Ovis aries: one gene and its partners. The protein of the gene in region 2 purifies or fractionates together with the protein of the main gene of each other region. This does not show direct contact. Links are inferred from orthologs where the notes say so. Each region holds a gene or a part of one and is shown on either strand. Other genes may lie near its edges. The genes, in order: TMEM59, POMK, GHITM, LRP6 and CANX.

The links.
Region 1: the proteins of POMK (region 2) and TMEM59 purify together in Homo sapiens (affinity purification with mass spectrometry; 3 studies listed by BioGRID and IntAct, with this or other methods). This does not show direct contact. The link is inferred for Ovis aries from reciprocal best matches to the Homo sapiens genes POMK and TMEM59.
Region 3: the proteins of POMK (region 2) and GHITM purify together in Homo sapiens (affinity purification with mass spectrometry; 3 studies listed by BioGRID and IntAct, counting the BioPlex papers as one, with this or other methods). This does not show direct contact. The link is inferred for Ovis aries from reciprocal best matches to the Homo sapiens genes POMK and GHITM.
Region 4: the proteins of POMK (region 2) and LRP6 purify together in Homo sapiens (affinity purification with mass spectrometry; 3 studies listed by BioGRID and IntAct, counting the BioPlex papers as one, with this or other methods). This does not show direct contact. The link is inferred for Ovis aries from reciprocal best matches to the Homo sapiens genes POMK and LRP6.
Region 5: the proteins of POMK (region 2) and CANX purify together in Homo sapiens (affinity purification with mass spectrometry; 3 studies listed by BioGRID and IntAct, counting the BioPlex papers as one, with this or other methods). This does not show direct contact. The link is inferred for Ovis aries from reciprocal best matches to the Homo sapiens genes POMK and CANX.

What each region holds. Positions count from the first base shown.
Region 1 is NC_056054.1:28,569,598-28,573,174, forward strand, and holds part of TMEM59 (transmembrane protein 59), read right to left. Parts: intron 3,557-3,577; coding exon 3,462-3,556; intron 742-3,461; coding exon 589-741; intron 1-588.
Region 2 is NC_056079.1:37,076,935-37,080,511, forward strand, and holds part of POMK (protein O-mannose kinase), read left to right. Parts: intron 1-738; exon of another isoform or gene 739-947; intron 948-2,332; exon of another isoform or gene 2,333-2,374; 5' UTR 2,375-2,475; intron 2,476-3,046; 5' UTR 3,047-3,226; coding exon 3,227-3,544; intron 3,545-3,577. UniProt on the Homo sapiens protein: Protein O-mannose kinase that specifically mediates phosphorylation at the 6-position of an O-mannose of the trisaccharide (N-acetylgalactosamine (GalNAc)-beta-1,3-N-acetylglucosamine (GlcNAc)-beta-1,4-mannose) to generate phosphorylated O-mannosyl trisaccharide (N-acetylgalactosamine-beta-1,3-N-acetylglucosamine-beta-1,4-(phosphate-6-)mannose).
Region 3 is NC_056078.1:38,167,657-38,171,233, forward strand, and holds part of GHITM (growth hormone-inducible transmembrane protein), read left to right. Parts: intron 1-1,621; coding exon 1,622-1,730; intron 1,731-3,198; coding exon 3,199-3,387; intron 3,388-3,577. UniProt on the Homo sapiens protein: Plays an important role in maintenance of mitochondrial morphology and in mediating either calcium or potassium/proton antiport. Mediates proton-dependent calcium efflux from mitochondrion.
Region 4 is NC_056056.1:203,329,461-203,333,037, forward strand, and holds part of LRP6 (low-density lipoprotein receptor-related protein 6), read left to right. Parts: intron 1-3,103; coding exon 3,104-3,306; intron 3,307-3,577. UniProt on the Homo sapiens protein: Component of the Wnt-Fzd-LRP5-LRP6 complex that triggers beta-catenin signaling through inducing aggregation of receptor-ligand complexes into ribosome-sized signalosomes.
Region 5 is NC_056058.1:1,394,369-1,397,945, reverse strand, and holds part of CANX (calnexin), read left to right. Parts: intron 1-3,153; 5' UTR 3,154-3,156; coding exon 3,157-3,330; intron 3,331-3,577. UniProt on the Homo sapiens protein: Calcium-binding protein that interacts with newly synthesized monoglucosylated glycoproteins in the endoplasmic reticulum. It may act in assisting protein assembly and/or in the retention within the ER of unassembled protein subunits.

The DNA of each region.
Region 1 (3,577 bases), on a different chromosome or scaffold from region 2:
TGGGTTGCCATTTACTTCTCCAATGCATGAAAGTGAAAAGTGAAAGTGAAGTCACTTAGTCGTGTCCAACTTTTCACGACCCCATGGACCGCAGCCTACCAGGCTCCTTTTTTCCAGGCAAGAGCACTAGAGTGGGGTGCCATTGCCTTCTCCGCTCTTATATCTATAGGCTTCATTTTATCAATAAACCACTCTAAAATTTAGAAGACTCAGAGATCTTGTTAGATACAGATCAATAGGCTTTAAATAGATTTCCAATGGGCAGCTGCTGCTGCTGCTGCTAAATCACTTCAGTCATGTCCGACTCTGTGCGACCCCTGATACAGCAGCCCACCAGGCTCCCCCATCCCTGGGACCCTCCAGGCAAGAACACTGGAGAGGGTTGCCATTTCCTTCTCCAATGCATGAAAGTGAAAAGTCAAAGTGAAGTCGCTCAGTCGTGTCCGACTCTGAGCAACCCCATCAACTGCAGCCTACCAGGCTCTTCCGTCCATGGGATTTTCCAGGCAAGAGTACTGGAGTGGGGTGCCATTGCCTTCTCCATTACTACTGCTAGTATTTAAATGACTCTATGAAGCACATTATTACCTGGAATATAACGATTTTTCCATCATCAGCTTGAAGATAAAAAGTCCATGAAGAGGTTATGAAGCTCTGTGCAGAGTCCACCATATCACTCCAGAATGATCTTACCAGAGTTAGAGGGAAGAGTAGATGCATTTTTGGCATCAGGGACATGAGCTTAAAAAAAGAAAATTAAATCAAGGTGAAATATATTATTTTTTATATACACATATACAAAAGAACAATATAATCAAATCCTTATTTGGACAGAGTATAAAACAAGTGATTCTATTATCGTCATTAGCATCAGAGTAAACTCTTCATTATCTATGCAATTAACCATGAGCTTAAATTCCTAGGATCCTTTAACGTATCACCTAATACAATATAAGCTACCTGTCACCTCTATCAAATTAACAGGCTTTTGAGTTAGGTCCAAAAATGTAGAAAATCTAAACTCTTCTCTTTTGATTAAATAAGGATTAGCAAGGCCTCAAGAGGCAGAAGAGGAAGGGACAAATCTTTAATACTTTCATGTAAAATGAACCATCCCATAACACACACCAATGGAAAAAAGGAAGGAAAAAAAATCAATCCAAGGAATATATGCATAAAATGTGAGATATCTGATAACAGGGCAGAGGGAGGGAAATATTTATGGGCTGACTACATACAGTAAGCTACTGATGAGATTTTTACATTAATTGGTATCGCCTCCCCTTTAATTCTGACTATTGACTAATTCAACAGCAGTGGGCCCCTCTAGAGAATAAGTATGAGATACCATTCACTGAACTCTAGAGATAGCTTTGGTTCTGGCTGTATTTCAAAAGAAAGACACTATGGGGTTATTAAGGGAGAAGAGCTTTTAGAATCAGAAGAGATCTGTACTCGTGATCTAATTTTTCCACTTAAAAGCTGTGAAATCATTCATTGATTAGTTCACTAAGTAAGCATTCATTGAGATTATACGTTTTAAGAGTCAGAAACCATGTGTGTTTTATTCATCTTTTATTCATCCACATGTGTCTGTGCTTAATCTACGCAGGACAGAGGTGAAACACGGTGTGATACATGTCTGTGGGGAGAGGCATCTAACCCAAACTGGGGTGAGAGGTGGCTAAGAAGGCTTCACAGAGGACATGATACTTGCCCTGAGTCAAAAGGATTCACTAGGCAGAGAATAGAAGAAACAAGAAATAATGTCACCATTAACATATTACAAACATTAAGAACTTCTTAGTATGTACATAATTAAAGGGAAATAAAAAAGGGTCTTAAAAATTAGAAAATATGTTTAAAGTTACTCGTAAGAGAAACACAAATTAAAACTGTAATAAAAGTACTACATTGCCAAGGACTGGGAGGAGGAGGAAAAGACAGTGACTGCTAACGGGTATAAGATTTCTTTTTTCGATAATGAAAACGTTGTGGAAGTAGATAGTAATGATGGTTGCACAGTCTGGAATAGACTAAAAACTACTACACTGAATACTTCAGAAGAATGATTTTTATAGTATGAATTATATGTCAATTTTAAGACGTGATAGAAATTCCATACAAGGCAATTTTGCTCTATTTCCCAAAATTAAAAATGCATATACTTAACTCAGCAATTGTATTCCTATGATTTTATTCTAGAAATATAAATGTAAAAAATAGGCAACATTATATGTAAATCTAAAAAATTAGAAACAACCTTGCTGCTGCTGCTGCTAAGTCACTTCAGTCATGTCCGACTCTGTGCGACCCCATAGATGGCAGCCCACCAAACCCAGAAACAACCCTACATGTCCATAAGCAAGGGACTACTTAAATAAATGATACATCCATATAATGAAATTATGTATGTTCTGGAAAGAAATGAGTAGACAGTCTTTAATTATATTTTAGAAAAGAATACATGTATCCTTGTATAAAATGCCTCTGCACTGGTAACCCTGGCTACATTAATGGAGGAAAATGGAGTGGCTAAGAGATACAGGGGTAGGAAACTTTTCACTAAAGAACTGATCTTTGAACAATGGCAGGGATTAGGGGTGCTGAAATCTGTGAATATACACAGATTATAGTTGGTCTCCCACGTTTGTGATTCTGCATCTGAGAATTCAACCAACTATAGATCACGTAGTACAGTATAATATTAAGAAAAAAAAAATTCAAGTGTAAATGGTCCCGCAGTTAAAATCCATGTTTTTCAAGGGTCAACTGTGTGTGTGTGTGTGTGTGTGTGTGTGTGTGTATATTTTTTTTTTTTCACCTTTTGAATTCTGTACCATGCGGTTGTATTTCCTATGTCAAAGTTAATTCAAAAACTTTCCCCCAAACGCTTGGATAGAGTAAGAGGGGTAGAAATTCTAAGAGATGATATAGAAGAGGTAATCAGAAGCCAGGCTGTGATAAATGGTTTGGACTTAAACCTGTATATAATGGGAAGCTACTGAAGAATATAAGATAGAATCATGACATGAGATTTCCATTTAGAAATAAATATCCAGACACAGACTAGACAATAGACTAGAAGGGGCTAAAGTGGGAAAACAGACTGGAAGCTCATTTAGTAATACAGATGAGAAATGATGCTGATCTAAGGTAATGGCAGATAAGGTAAAAGGAACTCTCCACTTCTCTGAGCCTCAGTTTTTTCATATGCAAAATGGGGATAATACTGTCACCAGACCAAGAAAAAAAAAACAAAATGAGATTATGGGTGTGAACATACCTCTTAACATTAAAGCCTTATACAAAAGTAACTGACTTTTCTATTTGCAAAAATAATTTGTTTGCTGAAACTAATTATAAAATATAATACTGAAATAGGATCATGTGAACAATATACATTTCAATACAAAGTGCAATCTAAGCAGGCATTTCTGAAGGGCGGTATTGTTTCATACTTGTTCTTGTCTCAATTCTGCGTATGGCAGCTGATTCTGGCAACCAAGATGGCAAGCATATTGTTCATCAGATTGGGAATATGCTTCTGTACATGCTGGAAGAGAAAAACAGTAAA
Region 2 (3,577 bases):
GTCGGTCGTGCTTAGGGGATGGAGACATCAAGTTCCCCGGTTGAGTCCCCCTCACAGTGGGGACCCCTGCGTGGCAGGCATGCTGGCGACAGGAGAGGGAATTCAGGTGTGGACATCCCAGACCTTGAGGGGTCCCCGGCTAAGTGATGCTTTAGGAGAAAGAGCCAGGTCACAGCAGAGGCTGGAAACCATTGGCGTGTACGCGGCCGCCTGAGCCGTGTGCGTGGATGAGACCACGTGGAAGGCGTGGAATGGAAGAGGAGCCCGTGACATCACCCGAGGGATGCCATCCCCTGAGGCGGGCCGGCCAGCCGCTCCTCCCGCCTCCCATTCTCGGGTGGCCCGTGAGCTAAGGATCCCTTTCACGTTTTTAAATACTGGGGGAAAGAAACAAAGGAACAGTCTTTTGTGACGTGAGGCTCGAATCCCAGTGTCTGTGAGCAGAGTTTTGCTGGAGCAGAGCCATGCTCGCCCCACTGGTGCAGGAGGGCCTGGCTGCTTCTGGCGGCCGGATGGAGGGACGTGACCGTCCCCCGGTCACACTGCACGGCCGCTGCACGCCCCGCACGTCCCAGTGTGTGGCCCCTCGATTACCGCTCTGGCCCCTAAAGCTGAACTTTTACTGTCTGGCACTTTATGGGAAAAAGTTCTTCTGACCTCAGGTCTAAGTCGAGACACTCTTGGTCACTTTAAATGCCACAGAGGAGAGACGGCAGGAGTTTTGCCTGTTTCTTGCAGGTCAGCTTCTAAGAATCAGGCACTGGGGGAAGACACTCTGGAGACTGTGAGGCCGGAGTGGTTAATGTTGTTGCTGCGTCCACCAGAGTCCTGGGAGACGTCTGGAGGGAGGGCGCCGGAGAGAAAGATGCGGGCCCGGGATCTCGAGGACGGCGAGCAGATAGCGCCCGGGCCGTCACTGGGTGCTGCTGGCAGGACTTGGGCCATGGGTGAGCACCCCACCTGGTCCCAGAGAGGAGGGGGTCCCTGAGCTCCTCGCGGTGACGGCAGAGATGATAAAAGCCCTGCGTTCTCTTCCGATAAGGGCAAAGTACACTGACCCGTGGAAGAGTCCTCCCTTCTCCCATCCACCTACTAACCCGGCCTGACCCCGCTTAGCTTCGGAGGGGAGATGCGGTCTGGCGTGTCCAGGGTGGTGTGGCTGAGACGAGTCCCTCCCCTCTGACAGTCCCTGCTCAGCAGAAGCGCTGTCACTGCTGACCCCTGCAGCGTGGTCACTGGGAGATTACAGCTGGCACCTCTGAGATCGCGAGCACTGAAAAGAGCGGATTTGAGGGGGGAGGGTTGAGTTTGGGAAGTATTTTTTTTATCTTTTCGTGTTAAGATTTTATATATATATATATACATATATATATATATACACACACACACACACATAAAAATACATACAGCATCTTCATTCATTCTCTGTTGACAGACACTGTTCCTTCCATGTCTTGACTCTTGTGAATAATGATGCTATGGACATAGGGGTGCATGTATCTTTTCAAATTAGTAGGGGTTTTTTGGGGTTTTTTTTGGATATGCACCCAGGAGTGAGATTGCTGGATCATGTGATGGTTCTAATTTTAGTGTTTTGAGGCACTTTCACCTGGCTTTCCGTGGCAGCTGCACCAATGAACGTTCCCACCAACAGAGTCAGAGTGCTCCCTTTTCTTCACCTCCTCACCAGCGTTTGTTATCTCTTGTCTCTCTTGCTGATGGCCATTCTGACAGGTGTGAGGTGATGACCTCAAATTTACAGTGTGTGAATTACATCTCAGCCTAAGTTTTTAATTGAATTATAGGTGATTTACACTATTTCGTTAGTTTCAAGCATACAACATGGTGACTCAGTATTTTTAAAGCTTATGTTCCACTTAAAAGTTACTACAAAATAATGGCTGTATTCCCTGTGCTCAACTCTGGGTCAGAGACAGAAGTGGCTTCTCCAGGCAGAGCGACTTAGCTGCTCCAGACGAGAGCGGAGGCGTCGAGCTCCCCGCCAGGTCCTGGGGCTGCAGACTTTCTGTTTGTGCTTGCAGAGAACAGTTTGCAGTGAGAAGGCAGGCGTCGTTCAAAGAGGATGGCCTGGCGCTTGGCAGTGCCCACAGCAGGGCACGTACAGGCTGCCTAAGACGTGTTGGAGGAGTGGGTTCCAGGAGGGAGTGATGGGGGTCATGGGGGTGGCCGGGGGCAAAGAGGGGCTGGCGGGGAGGCCTGGGCTCCCGGCCCCCCTGCACCGACCCGGAGATCGGGAGCCTGGGAGACCCCCCTAGCTGGGAGGGCCTGGGAAAGGGAGCTGCTTGGACTGTGGCCGTTTGTCTGTGTGCAGAGTCACAAGTCTTATTCAACAGACCTCCTGTTTGGTACTTAGAGGAAGAGTGCTTTGAAACCAGCGCGTGGAGCCAGCTGGAGCCTTGACCGATCCAGGAGTCTGGCCAGAAACCTGAGCAAGAAGGAAGGCCCTCCCGGCAGGTAAGGCTTTGTGTCGCCGTGTCCTGGGCCCCGAGACCCAGGGTCCGTCAGGCACTGTGTCTCATGTGCCTGGTGCTGCGGCTAAGTCCGTGCCCTCTGCTCTGGCCGCTCCCGGTGGGTGGCAACCAGCGTCCACCCCAGGATCCTGGAGGGCCCGATATCCAGGTTCCTCCCAGCCCCCTGTGGCCAGGCAGCAGTCCCTGCCTCGCACTGGCCCAGCACCTGCTCCCGGGCCTCTGAGAGTCACCTGCGCCCCCACCTCACCCCTGTCAGGCCACCTGCCTTCTTATCAGCGCTCATCCTGGATTCCGGCCCGGGCCCCCACCCAGCCTCTCCCACCACCACCTCCCCTACCGCCGCCTCCCCCACCAACCTCCCGGGGCACCCTTTCACACCTTTGCTTCTTAAAAGCATCAGGGGGCTTCTGAGCACCTCCCAAGGAGCACCCCAGCCCCTCAGCATCCCGGACGGCCCCCAGCCCAGCTTCTCTCTCCCTTGCCGTCTCCAGAGCCGCGCTTTGCTTTCCTCTTAGCATTGCTAGCTGCGCGGTGCTTGCCTTTCCTCACTGCAGGTGGCTGTAGGGGAGACAGAGACACGGCCGGACAGGCCCAAGACTGCCTTCTGCTCGACCCTGCAGTCAAAAGTCGGGGCTCCGGGAGGAGCCGGCATCGGGCACGCGGCCCGCGGCTGCTCACGGCGGCCCCGGGCCCCTCCGTCCTTCCTGAGTCTGCCTGGGCTGTGACCACGCCTCATGTCTCCGTCTGAGGGGCTGGCAGAGCGCAGTGCCATGGAGACGAGGCCCCCGGAGGGCAGGAAGGGGCCTGCGCCCAGGGAGCTGCCCCCGGCCGTGGGGCTGCTGCTGTCCATGGCGCTCATGAACATCCTCCTCTACCTCTGCCTCGACCGGCTCGTCACCGCGCCCCGCAGCCCCACGGCGCACCCCGGCCGCTGCCCGCCCGGCCACTTCAGCATGGGGCAGGCGGCCACCTGCTCCCCGTGGCTGTCCTGCGAGCAGCTGAGGACGGAAGTGAGGCCTCTGAAGCGCGTCGGGGAGGGAGCCGTGAAGACGGTGAGTCCCGCTCGCCATCGAGGGGGCGGGCAG
Region 3 (3,577 bases), on a different chromosome or scaffold from region 2:
TGGCACAATAAACAGAATTAAAGAGGCAGGAAACTGGGATGTGTTTGCAGTATACCACTTCAGTGTAGCTGAAGTGTAGGGTATGGGAAGGTAAAAGGCAAAAAATGGACCTGCATCATGAAGGATTTTAAAAGAAAAATACACAATTACGTTAGATATCCTGAAAATGCAGAGATCCATGAAGTAGCTTTTAGTAATTGTTTCTCCCTTGGAAGATGTTGGAGTAGAATCCATTGTGCTATTGGGTATTATGAGTGAAGGCTTTCCCATTCTCAGCAAAAATAGCTGTTCCATTTACCTGTACTTTACCACAGGGTTGACCATTCAGATGTCCTTGGTTCAGGCAGATGAGGCAGATGATTGAGGCAGGCCTGGTATGTTACACGGGATTATTGGCATCTAGAGAAGTGAAGTGAAGTCGCTCAGTTGTGTCCAACTCTTCGTGACCCCATGGACTGTAGCCCACCAGGCTCCTCAGTCCATGGGATTTTCCAGGCATGAATACTGGAGTGGGTTGCCATTTCCTTCTCCAGGGGATCTTCCTGATCGAGGGATCAAACCCAGGTCTCATGCATTGTAGGCAGACGCTTTACCATCTGAACTACCGGGGCATCTAGAGAATGCCTTCCCAACTAAATGAACTCACTTTTGTTTGTTGGTTTGAATAGTTGGCCAAACAAAATGTCTGCTGCCTAATCTTGCCAAAGGGCTGCAAGTATGCAGTTTCTGCCTTAAATTTCCTGAAAAGTATCTTTCTTGCATTACAAACATTTCTTTCTTGTGCACACAGAATATATAAATGTGTAACAGTGGAAATCAAACATAGGCAAAGTAGAGGGATGAGGGCCAGCCAATTCAGCCAAAAAACTGGGAGGATAGAAACGAAGACTCTTATTTCTCGTCTTTTTCTTGTGCTCCTATTTTTCAAGTTTTCATTTAGAGAATAGAGTTTAAGGCAGTGTGCCATATATGTTCTAATTGGTATATCATGAGTAATTGTTTTTAATGTTAGTGTTATGCCAAAATAAATATAGTCTACAATAATTGTTCTGGGATTTTTAAAGTGGTTCTGTTACACCTCTGTCTAACAAGAATAAAATGTTTTAAAGATTAATTTTTACATCTTTATTTATTTGACTGTGGTAGGTCCTTGTTGCTGCCCATGGGCTCTCTAGTTGCGCATGCAGGGCCTCTCATTGCTGTAGCTTCTCTTGCTGTGGAGCACAGGCTCTTGGCGTGTGGGCTCGGTAGCTGTGGCTGCTGGGCTCTAGAGCACAGGCCTGGTTACCTCGCGGCATGTGGGGCACTCGCGGACCAGGGGTCAAACAGGCGTCCCCCAGCATTGCAGGGTGGACCACCAGGGGAGCCCAGAATAAAAACTCATTTACTTACAGTTGTCTGCAAAACTTTGTGTATAACAGTAGGGGGCACTCTTGCTAATTTGATCAAACTGAAGTAAGCACAAGGCCTTTTAATGTGCTAGAAAAAGAAAGGATTCTGTTTATTCTTCTTCATCTTTTTAAGCACAGTCTACTGGAAGGACTAACTGCACTTGGAACTCGTGGGTTCTACTTTGTTGTTGTGTAAGGATCGGCTTTCCTTAGTAATACATGTCTTTCAGACCATTGGTGCAACCTTTGCAGCCATGATTGGAGCTGGAATGCTGGTACAGTCAATATCATATGAGCAGAGTCCAGGCCCAAAGCACCTTGCTTGGTTACTACATTCTGGTATGTTGTTTTAAAATTGCTATTACACGGTCTTAAACTACCTTTTTTGATGGCTCTTCACAGTCGTAAATGACACGCACAATTTAATTAAGCCTCTGGTCTACTAAACACTGAGAGTTTCCTGCACTTATTCCTGGTTGTATTACTGCTCCATTCTGGCAAGTTAATGTTTCTGGTACTAAGACCATGGACAGCCCCAGTGTTACACTCTTCTCTGGTAATAGTCTAGATAGGCAGAGGTTTCTTTTATGTGTTTCGTCTAATACCAGGAGGATTTCAAGTCTGGTGCACATCACTTGAGAATTGTTCTTACTGTATATCTTTCAGAAAATAAAAAACTGAAGGTCTCCACCAGGGACAGAAGAAGTAAAAATAAGAGAGAGGTTTTTGCAGTAGAGTATAGGGAAGAAAAGAATCGAAAAGATGTTTGGAAATGCACTTCTAATTAGCTCTACTTCTGTACAGCTAATGTGACACCATTAGCTGGATCGACATTTAGATAGATCTTGACACGAAGTTACTGTAGGCAAGGCAGAGGCTGTCCAACCCTGGTATTCTGGAACAGTTTTAATATTCTTTGAGGTGTTTGTAATAGTCTCCTTCATTATGGAACGACACATGCTTTTCTACATAAAGTATTTTCTATGGCAGGTATCTGCCTCTGGGTTGAGTAAAGAGCCAGCCAGGTGCAGAACCAAAATGCTTCTTAGATGCATGTTCCCTGCCACAAAATAAGACAAATTCTATAAGCATTTCCATGAAACTTCCAGGGAGAGAGACCGAAATGTTTTCCACATGGGTTGGTACATGGAAATTAGGCTTTGGGCACCCAATATGATGAATCTCCAGTGTGAAATACAGCATTTACATTCATGTGCTGTCTTTGGGGGAATATGAGACAGCATGCCTTCCCAACCTTGGCTTTCAAGTCTCTCTCCCATTAGGTCTTAGGTAATTCAGCCATAGGTATTTTCCATGGAGCTTTACAGGATGGAACTTTAGTGGATGGGAGGGCAGTAATCCCAGTATTTTCCTTTAATACCAGTATCCTGCTTTTAAGAAGAAAATTATTTATAACATAGTATGCATTTGCTGCTTTTTAAAAAAAAGTTATTTTAAGCCTTTTCTTTATCTCATTTCTTCCAAATGTGAATGTTATTATAAAGACTTGGTAGACTCAGATCCAAATAATGAGCTACATTGAATTTGACAGAGTTACTAAAATTCTAGACTAGTGTTTATACTTGTGAGTATTGATTATTTGGCTAGAAATGGCGTTACTGTTGTGATTTAGAATTTGGATAGGTATAAGTTTTAGCTTAGGAGTTTTGTGGCTACTGTTAATAAAATAAGGAGAAAACTTTGTAGTCCTATTGTTTAATATGTTCAAAAGGCAGGTTAGTTAGAAGCATTTTGCTTTTGGTGGTTATGTAGTAAACGCTTAAGTGCCCACTTGCTCTTTCTCCAGGTGTGATGGGTGCTGTGGTGGCCCCTCTGACGATATTAGGGGGCCCTCTTCTCGTCAGAGCTGCGTGGTACACGGCTGGCATTGTGGGGGGTCTCTCCACCGTGGCCATGTGTGCGCCCAGTGAGAAGTTTCTGAACATGGGGGCGCCCCTGGGTGTGGGCCTCGGTGTCGTCTTTGTGTCCTCTCTAGGTAAGCCACTATGCTTTGACACTTGGTTCTTGGTGTCCTGAAATCATCTCACATACCCTGGTATTCTAATGGAGAGAATGTAGTCAGTGTCATTTTTAAAGTTGATTAAAAGGTATATGCCAGTTTGACTGGCTTTACTCCTTTGGCATAATGGCAGACCATTATTACTGGTTTAACCAAATACACCTAA
Region 4 (3,577 bases), on a different chromosome or scaffold from region 2:
TTCTAAATGAATGCTTGTTTCTTTTTTTCCCCCAGTTCTTGGAAAAAATTTTGTTTTCTTTCAAAATCATGGCTACAGGGCTCTCCTTAATGATGTCATCTCATGCTTTTTCTTCATTTGTTTACTCGTGTATTCTTTCAGTGAATATTTACTGAACAGCTAATCCACACTGGGCATTATTTGAGCCAATGAAGAATGTATTGCTGAATGAAACAGACATTAATCCCTGCCCTTGTGGAGGTTACGTTCCATCAGGATAGATAATGAACTAAATAAGTAAACTGTATCATGAGGTAGATGGAGATGAGTGTTATGGAGAAAATTATGAGCAGGAAAGGGTGCGTAGGAGGATCTTGATGTTAAATAGGATCACGAGAGAAGTCCTGGCATAAAAGTGACACTATGTCAGGTACTGAGGGAGGTGAGGAAATGAGCTTTGCTGGCTCCCTGGGAGAAGACCTGTCAAGCAGAGGGGAACATGTCTGGCATGTTGGAGAAACACCTGGGGGCCAGTGTCTCTGGAACAGAGTGTAAAGGGATTAAGTCAGAGAGGAAGCAGGAGGCCACATTGTGTAATCCTGTGTTCAGTACTGAAGCAGTTGGCCTTTGTGGCATCTTTGTGCACATTGAGAAAAGGTGTTTCCTCTGGGCACATGCAGCTGCACAGGTGCTTGACTTGGCTACCCAGGTGCAGCCTGGACTTAAGTCCGCTTGAGGCCTTTGGCACAGCTCAGAGATAGCACAATCCATCGTGGTGGGCTTGGGCTGGTCACTTACAATGTTCTTATACCAGAGTGGTACCTTTCTTTAAGCTTTAGGCGAACACTTGTGTCTTCAGAGGAGAGCTGAAAAGCTCCTGCCTGCTTACACCTTCTCCTCCAGCTTCTGCATGTGGGAGTGCAACACTGAGACAGCCCGACAGGACCGTTTTGAAGCCTTCTGCAAGAGACGAGGGGGTGGTGGTTAGAGGTGACATAAATTAGCATGGGTTTAGGCTTACAGAACTGCATATTCTTTGTCCCTTTTGTAAATAAGTCAAAATATCAGCTTCCTCCTGGAACTATTTAGCCAACTGTAATTAATGTCATCCATAGACTTTTTGAAATGAGTATTTGTTTGGAGCCATATTTGGCTTTGTCATCATCTATGTTTCTAGAACACTTAATCGTGAAAGCTTACTAAATGTTTTACTAAAGGTTAAAATTTGACTCAAAGAAAGAAAAAAACAATACAAAGTGAAACATAACTAGGAGCCCAATATATATTTGATTAATTATTTCCCAGGCAGGAAAATTAGGCAGCTAAAACTATGGGGTCTTTCTTCTGAGTTTCATTGTATGTCTTAATATGCTATTTTGTTGGAAGCTTACTATCAGGACCTTTTTTTTTTTTTTTTCCCCTATTTTCTTGATTTATAAGGAAGTAGTACTGCCAAAAAATAATTCTTTTTTTTTTTTTTTTTTTAATGGGAGACTTGTTAACTACTCTGTTGTGACATGTATTCTTACTAATTAAGGTGTTGGTTCTACTAAAATTGCTGAAAGTTGTTAAATCAGTATGCTCTGGACTCTACACAATGGAGAGTGCAGTGGAGTCACTGAAATATTTTTTAAATCTTCCAAGCTAGGTGTGGACTTTGAGCCAGTGGGTAACTTAAAGCAGAATTTCGGGGTTGTGAATACCAAGTTTCTTTGTGAGAAGCAGTGATTTCTTCAAGATTTAAACTGATGTACATATGGGTGTAGGTTTAACACTGTGAAGAATGGGGTTTAGGAGGAGATAAAGCAAGGAGTTCTGTTTTGGCCATTTGTGTTTATATCCCTGATAAGGACAAAATTCTGCTGGATTTAGGTGATGACTGACCAACAAGAGTAGAGTGTATAATTTGGGAATTTTTACATTTGTTTTAAAGAAGATTTTAAAAAAGACTGTTAGACTTTGAAGTTTTTGGTAGCGTTGTCAGATGGTGTTCTTTTCTAGATACTCTCCTCCTTAAAGATGACTGCATAGTAATCAGAGGCCTAGTCCCTGGGACAGGGAAGTGTTGTCTCGGCTGCATTTCCCTGTTTCATAGACTTCAGGCATCAACTAGTGTGTGAATTTTTTTTTTTTTTTAATGGTTCCCTCTCCTTGCAACCATTACATCCCCACAGTGTAAAACAAAGCCTATATATCTACAACCCATGAGGGTTTGTTTCATTCGTACTAACACCACATTTATTATTGCCACTACTGATGATAAGCAATAGCTATTTTTACTTGACATTTATATAATGTCTTATAGGTTTTTTGTTCAGGTATTGTACAATTGGGGCTTCCCTGGTGGCTCAGTAGTAAAGAATCCTACTGCCAGTGCTGGAGATGTGGGTCCAGTCCCTGGGTGAGGAAGATCCTCTGGAGAAGGAAATTGCAACCCACTCCAGTATTCTTGCCTGGAGAATCCCATGGAGAGGAGCCTGGTGGGCTACAGTCCTTGAGGTTGTAAAAGAGACATGACTTTGTGACTAAAGAACAACAACATTGTACAATTGACATGATACCTTACCTTTTTATTTTTACTCGTGTTATAAAATTCTTACAGCAACTCAGTGAGCAGGACAGCATAACCATAACCTAGTTGAGTAAATTTCGACCCCACGAGGTTGAAGGCTGTAGTTAAGATCAAGTGACTAAATTATGTGAGAACTGAAACTAAAACCACTATTGAAGTCTCTTTTTTGACCTGTGGAGACCCAGACTTCTTTCACCCACAAGAATAGATGAGGGAGGAGTTAGGATTATTTACTTGGTAGACAGGGGAATTTTGTTTGTCAAATGCTTCATTGAAATCAGGTGTCCTGTGATGATGCCACTGTGGACATTGGACAGAGAAAAATTGGCTAGTTGGCTGTGTTATAGCGTAAAATTCATAACTGGTTTAGTATCCAGAGTGTGATCAGTGTTTCCTCTAAGAGTTCTGAAGGCATTCCAAAGGGCTTTGTCTCATACAGGTCTTCAACATACATGTCTGTTTTTGTGAGATACAGACAACAGACCAATCAAATCTTTGAGTGATCTGAGACTTAGGATAACTGTTTCATATTTGCTTCCTTCTCTCTTTAAGCTCCAACTACTTTCCTGCTCTTCAGTCAGAAGAGCGCCATCAACCGCATGGTGATTGATGAACAGCAGAGCCCTGACATCATCCTTCCTATCCACAGCCTTCGGAATGTCCGGGCCATTGACTATGACCCCCTGGACAAGCAACTCTATTGGATTGACTCAAGACAAAACATGATCCGAAAAGCACAAGAAGATGGCAGCCAGGTAATCCAGGGCTCAGTTCAAAATCTGGTTCTTCTGTGTAGTTATTGGACCAGCTGGCCATCCTAGTCTACTTATGCAATGACTCTGCTTGTGTGTGTGTATAAAGCTGGAATTCTGAACCTGGCAGCACTTTTTCTCTCCTAAATGATCTTTGAGTAAACAGTTGTTTGCTAGTGCTATTGAAATGAAGATTGTATTGTATTAAAATAACTTCTGCTCATATATTAGAATGACTTTGTCAGTCCACCCATATCCATTTATATTCCATTTT
Region 5 (3,577 bases), on a different chromosome or scaffold from region 2:
CGTGTTCGGGATGCAGCCACGTTTTGTCTAGTGTAATAGAAATAGGAGATCTGAAGTCTTTGACTCTCACTTATTGGTTGTGATATTGAGTAAATGATTGGGTTGTTTTCATTTCACTACATCTTAGTAATACCTCAAGGGAGGTTTGCAAAATAATGTAACTGTGAAAGTGCTTTTATAAACTGGAACACAAAGCACAAGTTGATGATTCATAAACCCTAGTCAGTGGTTCTCAGGGTAGCAACCTTTGCATCCCCTGGAACCTGATAGGAAGGAAAAGGCCCAGCACGCACACACTCAATCAGCAGTCTGTTTTAAAAAGCCCCCTGAGGCACGCTCAAGTTAGGAAGAGCTGTCTTGTGACATTATACTCAACCCAAGGAGCATTGTGTTAGTCTGCTTGGACTGCCACAACAGCACCACAGGCCGGGCAGCTTAAACAACAGAAAAGTGTTTTCTTACAGTCTGGAAGTCTGTGATCGAGGCGTTGGCAGAGTTGGCTTCTGATGTGGCCTTCCTCCTCAGCTTGCGGAGGGCCACCATCTTGTGTCCTCGTTGGACTTAACCTCTGTGCATGTGGATTCCTGGTTCTCTTCCTCTTACTATAGACACCAGTTAGGGCCCCAACCTTATGACTGCTTTTAACCTTAATTACTTAAAGGTCCTATCTCTAAATATAGTTATGTTGGGAGTTCAAGTTTCAACATACAAATTTGAGGTAGGAGACACAGTTAAGCCTGTAACAGCGGTATATGTTGTATGTGTGTGTGCGCTCAGTTGCTCACTTGTGACCAAATCTTTTACAACCCCATGGACTGTAGCCTGCCAGGTCCTTCCATAGGATTTCCCAGGCAAGAATACTGGAGTGGGTTACCATTTCCTTCTCCAGCGGATCTTCCCGAAATGTGGGTCTCCTTCATTGGCAGACCAGTTCTTTACCACTGAGCCATCTGCAAGCCCATAACATAACAGCAGTATATCAGTAAATTAAAAGATACAGGGAAAAAAATCAGTCTTCCTGTTCTGCAGCTGTACTCTCCCTCACTGAACCCTACCTGAATCCCATTTTTGAAAGTTAAGTAGTTAGTTCATCTCCCCGATTAGCTTTTCCTTGAGCAGCAGTGTTTTAACATCAGTGCACAGTCCTTATTAATTCACTGGCTTTGTGGTTCACTTAATTGCTACTGGGCTTATCACATTTGCCTTTTTGACTTAACTATTTTGTGGGCTAATTTGATTTATAGAGTATCCCTGGGAACCCAACTGCCATTTATAGCATTATTTCTGTGAGGACTTCTTAGGTTGTATACAGTTGATGTAGATAAAAGGGTTGAATCAGCCTGTTTAGTTTCAGAGAATCCAGTGTAGTTGTAAATCAAAGCGATATTGCTACGCCATTGTAGATTTCGGTGGTAGAGAATAGAAGCCTTAACAGTGAAAAATTGAAATTACTGGCATTTCTTGGTATATAAGAAGCCATAGCAGAATGTTGACATTGAGAGTTTTTAAACTCTAATACCAGTCCTAGGAAAGATGATGAGTGAGTTTTTATTTTTATAAAAATCTTTTATTTCTTTATTTTCTGTGCTGCCTAGGAGTCCAGTGAGCCTTACTTTCTTTCATTTTGTGAAAACAGTACCCACGCTTTATAAATAAAGGAAATGCCGCCAAATGATACATGAAAGTCTAGTTCTATATAATCAATCACTTTAAAGGATTATAGCATTTATAAGGAATTAGGCGTTAAATTCAGCATTAGAATAAGTTGATTTACCAGTGACCAAAAAATTAAGCTATTTTATTTTAATAAAATCTTTTTTATAGCAGTGAAAATACTTGTAAGATTTACCATCTTAACCATCAAGTTCAGTGGCATTGAGTATGTTCATATTGTTGTACAGCTTTCACCTCCATCCGTCTCGAGAACTCTTCATCTTGCAGAATTAAAATTCTGTACAACCTACTGCCGAATCATTTTGTGCATCCGTGTGGCTCAGTTTTTGTATCTTTAGATCTGTGGTTTTGGAGAGAGGATTGACTACCATCCATGACAGTCAGATATGATATGTAAGACACTTGAAGGCTTAGAAAAAAGAGATAAAAATAGTTGGTCTATGGTTTAATATATTTTTTTGTTTTTCGGAGAAGGCAATGGCGCCCCACTCCAGTACTCTTGCCTGGAAACTCCCATGGACGGAGGAGCCTGGTGGGCTGCAGTCCATGGGGTGGCACAGAGTCGGACATGACTGAGCGACTTCTCTTTCATTTTTCACTTTCATCCACTGGAGAAGAAAATGGCACCCCACTCCAGTGTTCTTGCCTGGAGAATCCCAGAGACGGCAGAGCCTGGTGGGCTGCCGTCTTTGGGGTTGCACAGAGTCGGACACGACTGAAGTGACTTAGCAGCAGCAGCATGGTTTAATATATTTTTTTGTTGAATCTTAAAACTGATGTATTATTTATTTACTTGGCTTATTGGGTCTTAGTTGCTGACAGGTGGGATCTTTGCATCCTGCGGGGTCTGGTTTTAGTGCAGGACCTTGTTGAGCATGGAGTCTCGAATTGTGGCCTGTTTGCTCTGGGCTTAGTTGCTCTGTTGCATGGAGGATCTTAGTTCCCCAGCCATGGATCAAACTCAAGTCCCCTGCTTTGCACAGGGTTCCCTGGAAGTCCCTTAAAACACTAATTAAAAAACATACCTATTCTTCTTGATCTTTGGACAAAAACAGCAGCATCTAATCTAAATTAAGTCTTTAATGTGAGGCAAGTTAACTCCTCTGTTATTTCATTGTAATGTTTTAACTCGTTTAAACTATTCTGTAAAAGGGGCTTTGTCTATTGTAAAGCTCTTTACAAATGCAAGAAGTTATTTTGAAATTATATCTGAACACCCTAGGTCTGTGTAGCCAACATGATATTCTATATGGGGACAATTGTTTGAGTTATAGTTTGAATTTTTTCTTGAAATTGAATCTTTTAACTAACTGATTTTAGGAAAACCTGTTATTCTGAGTTCACTTTCTTTATCTATAAAATGAAATACAGTAAAGTTCCTTTCAGCTCTGATTTGAAAGCCTTAATTTTAAATAAGGGTTCAAAATTTTTGAAAGGAGGTGATACAATTAACTGTATTTTTTTTTAATAAATACTTAGATCATGGAAGGGAAGTGGTTGCTGTGTATGTTACTGGTCCTTGGAACTGCTCTTGTTCAAGCTCATGATGGACATGACGATGATGTGATTGACATTGAGGATGACCTTGATGACGTCATTGAAGAGGTAGAAGACTCGAAACCGAAGCCAGATGCCAGCAGTCCGCCATCGCCAAAGGTTTGACATGATCTTTGAATCTGTTTGTTTTGCCTCTTGAGATGATCAAAAGATGAAGGTACATTTTGGATCCTTACCAAAGGGAAAGCAAAATTTGCTAAAATACTTATTGCTCTCCCTGTCAACCTTTGTTATATTGTCCCAAAGATAAATTATATGGGTTGAATTTGAGGGCCAGTCATGCAAGTGTGAAAGCAAACCAAGAGAATAGATCCTACTGAGAATATTTTAATTCTTAATTCATTTT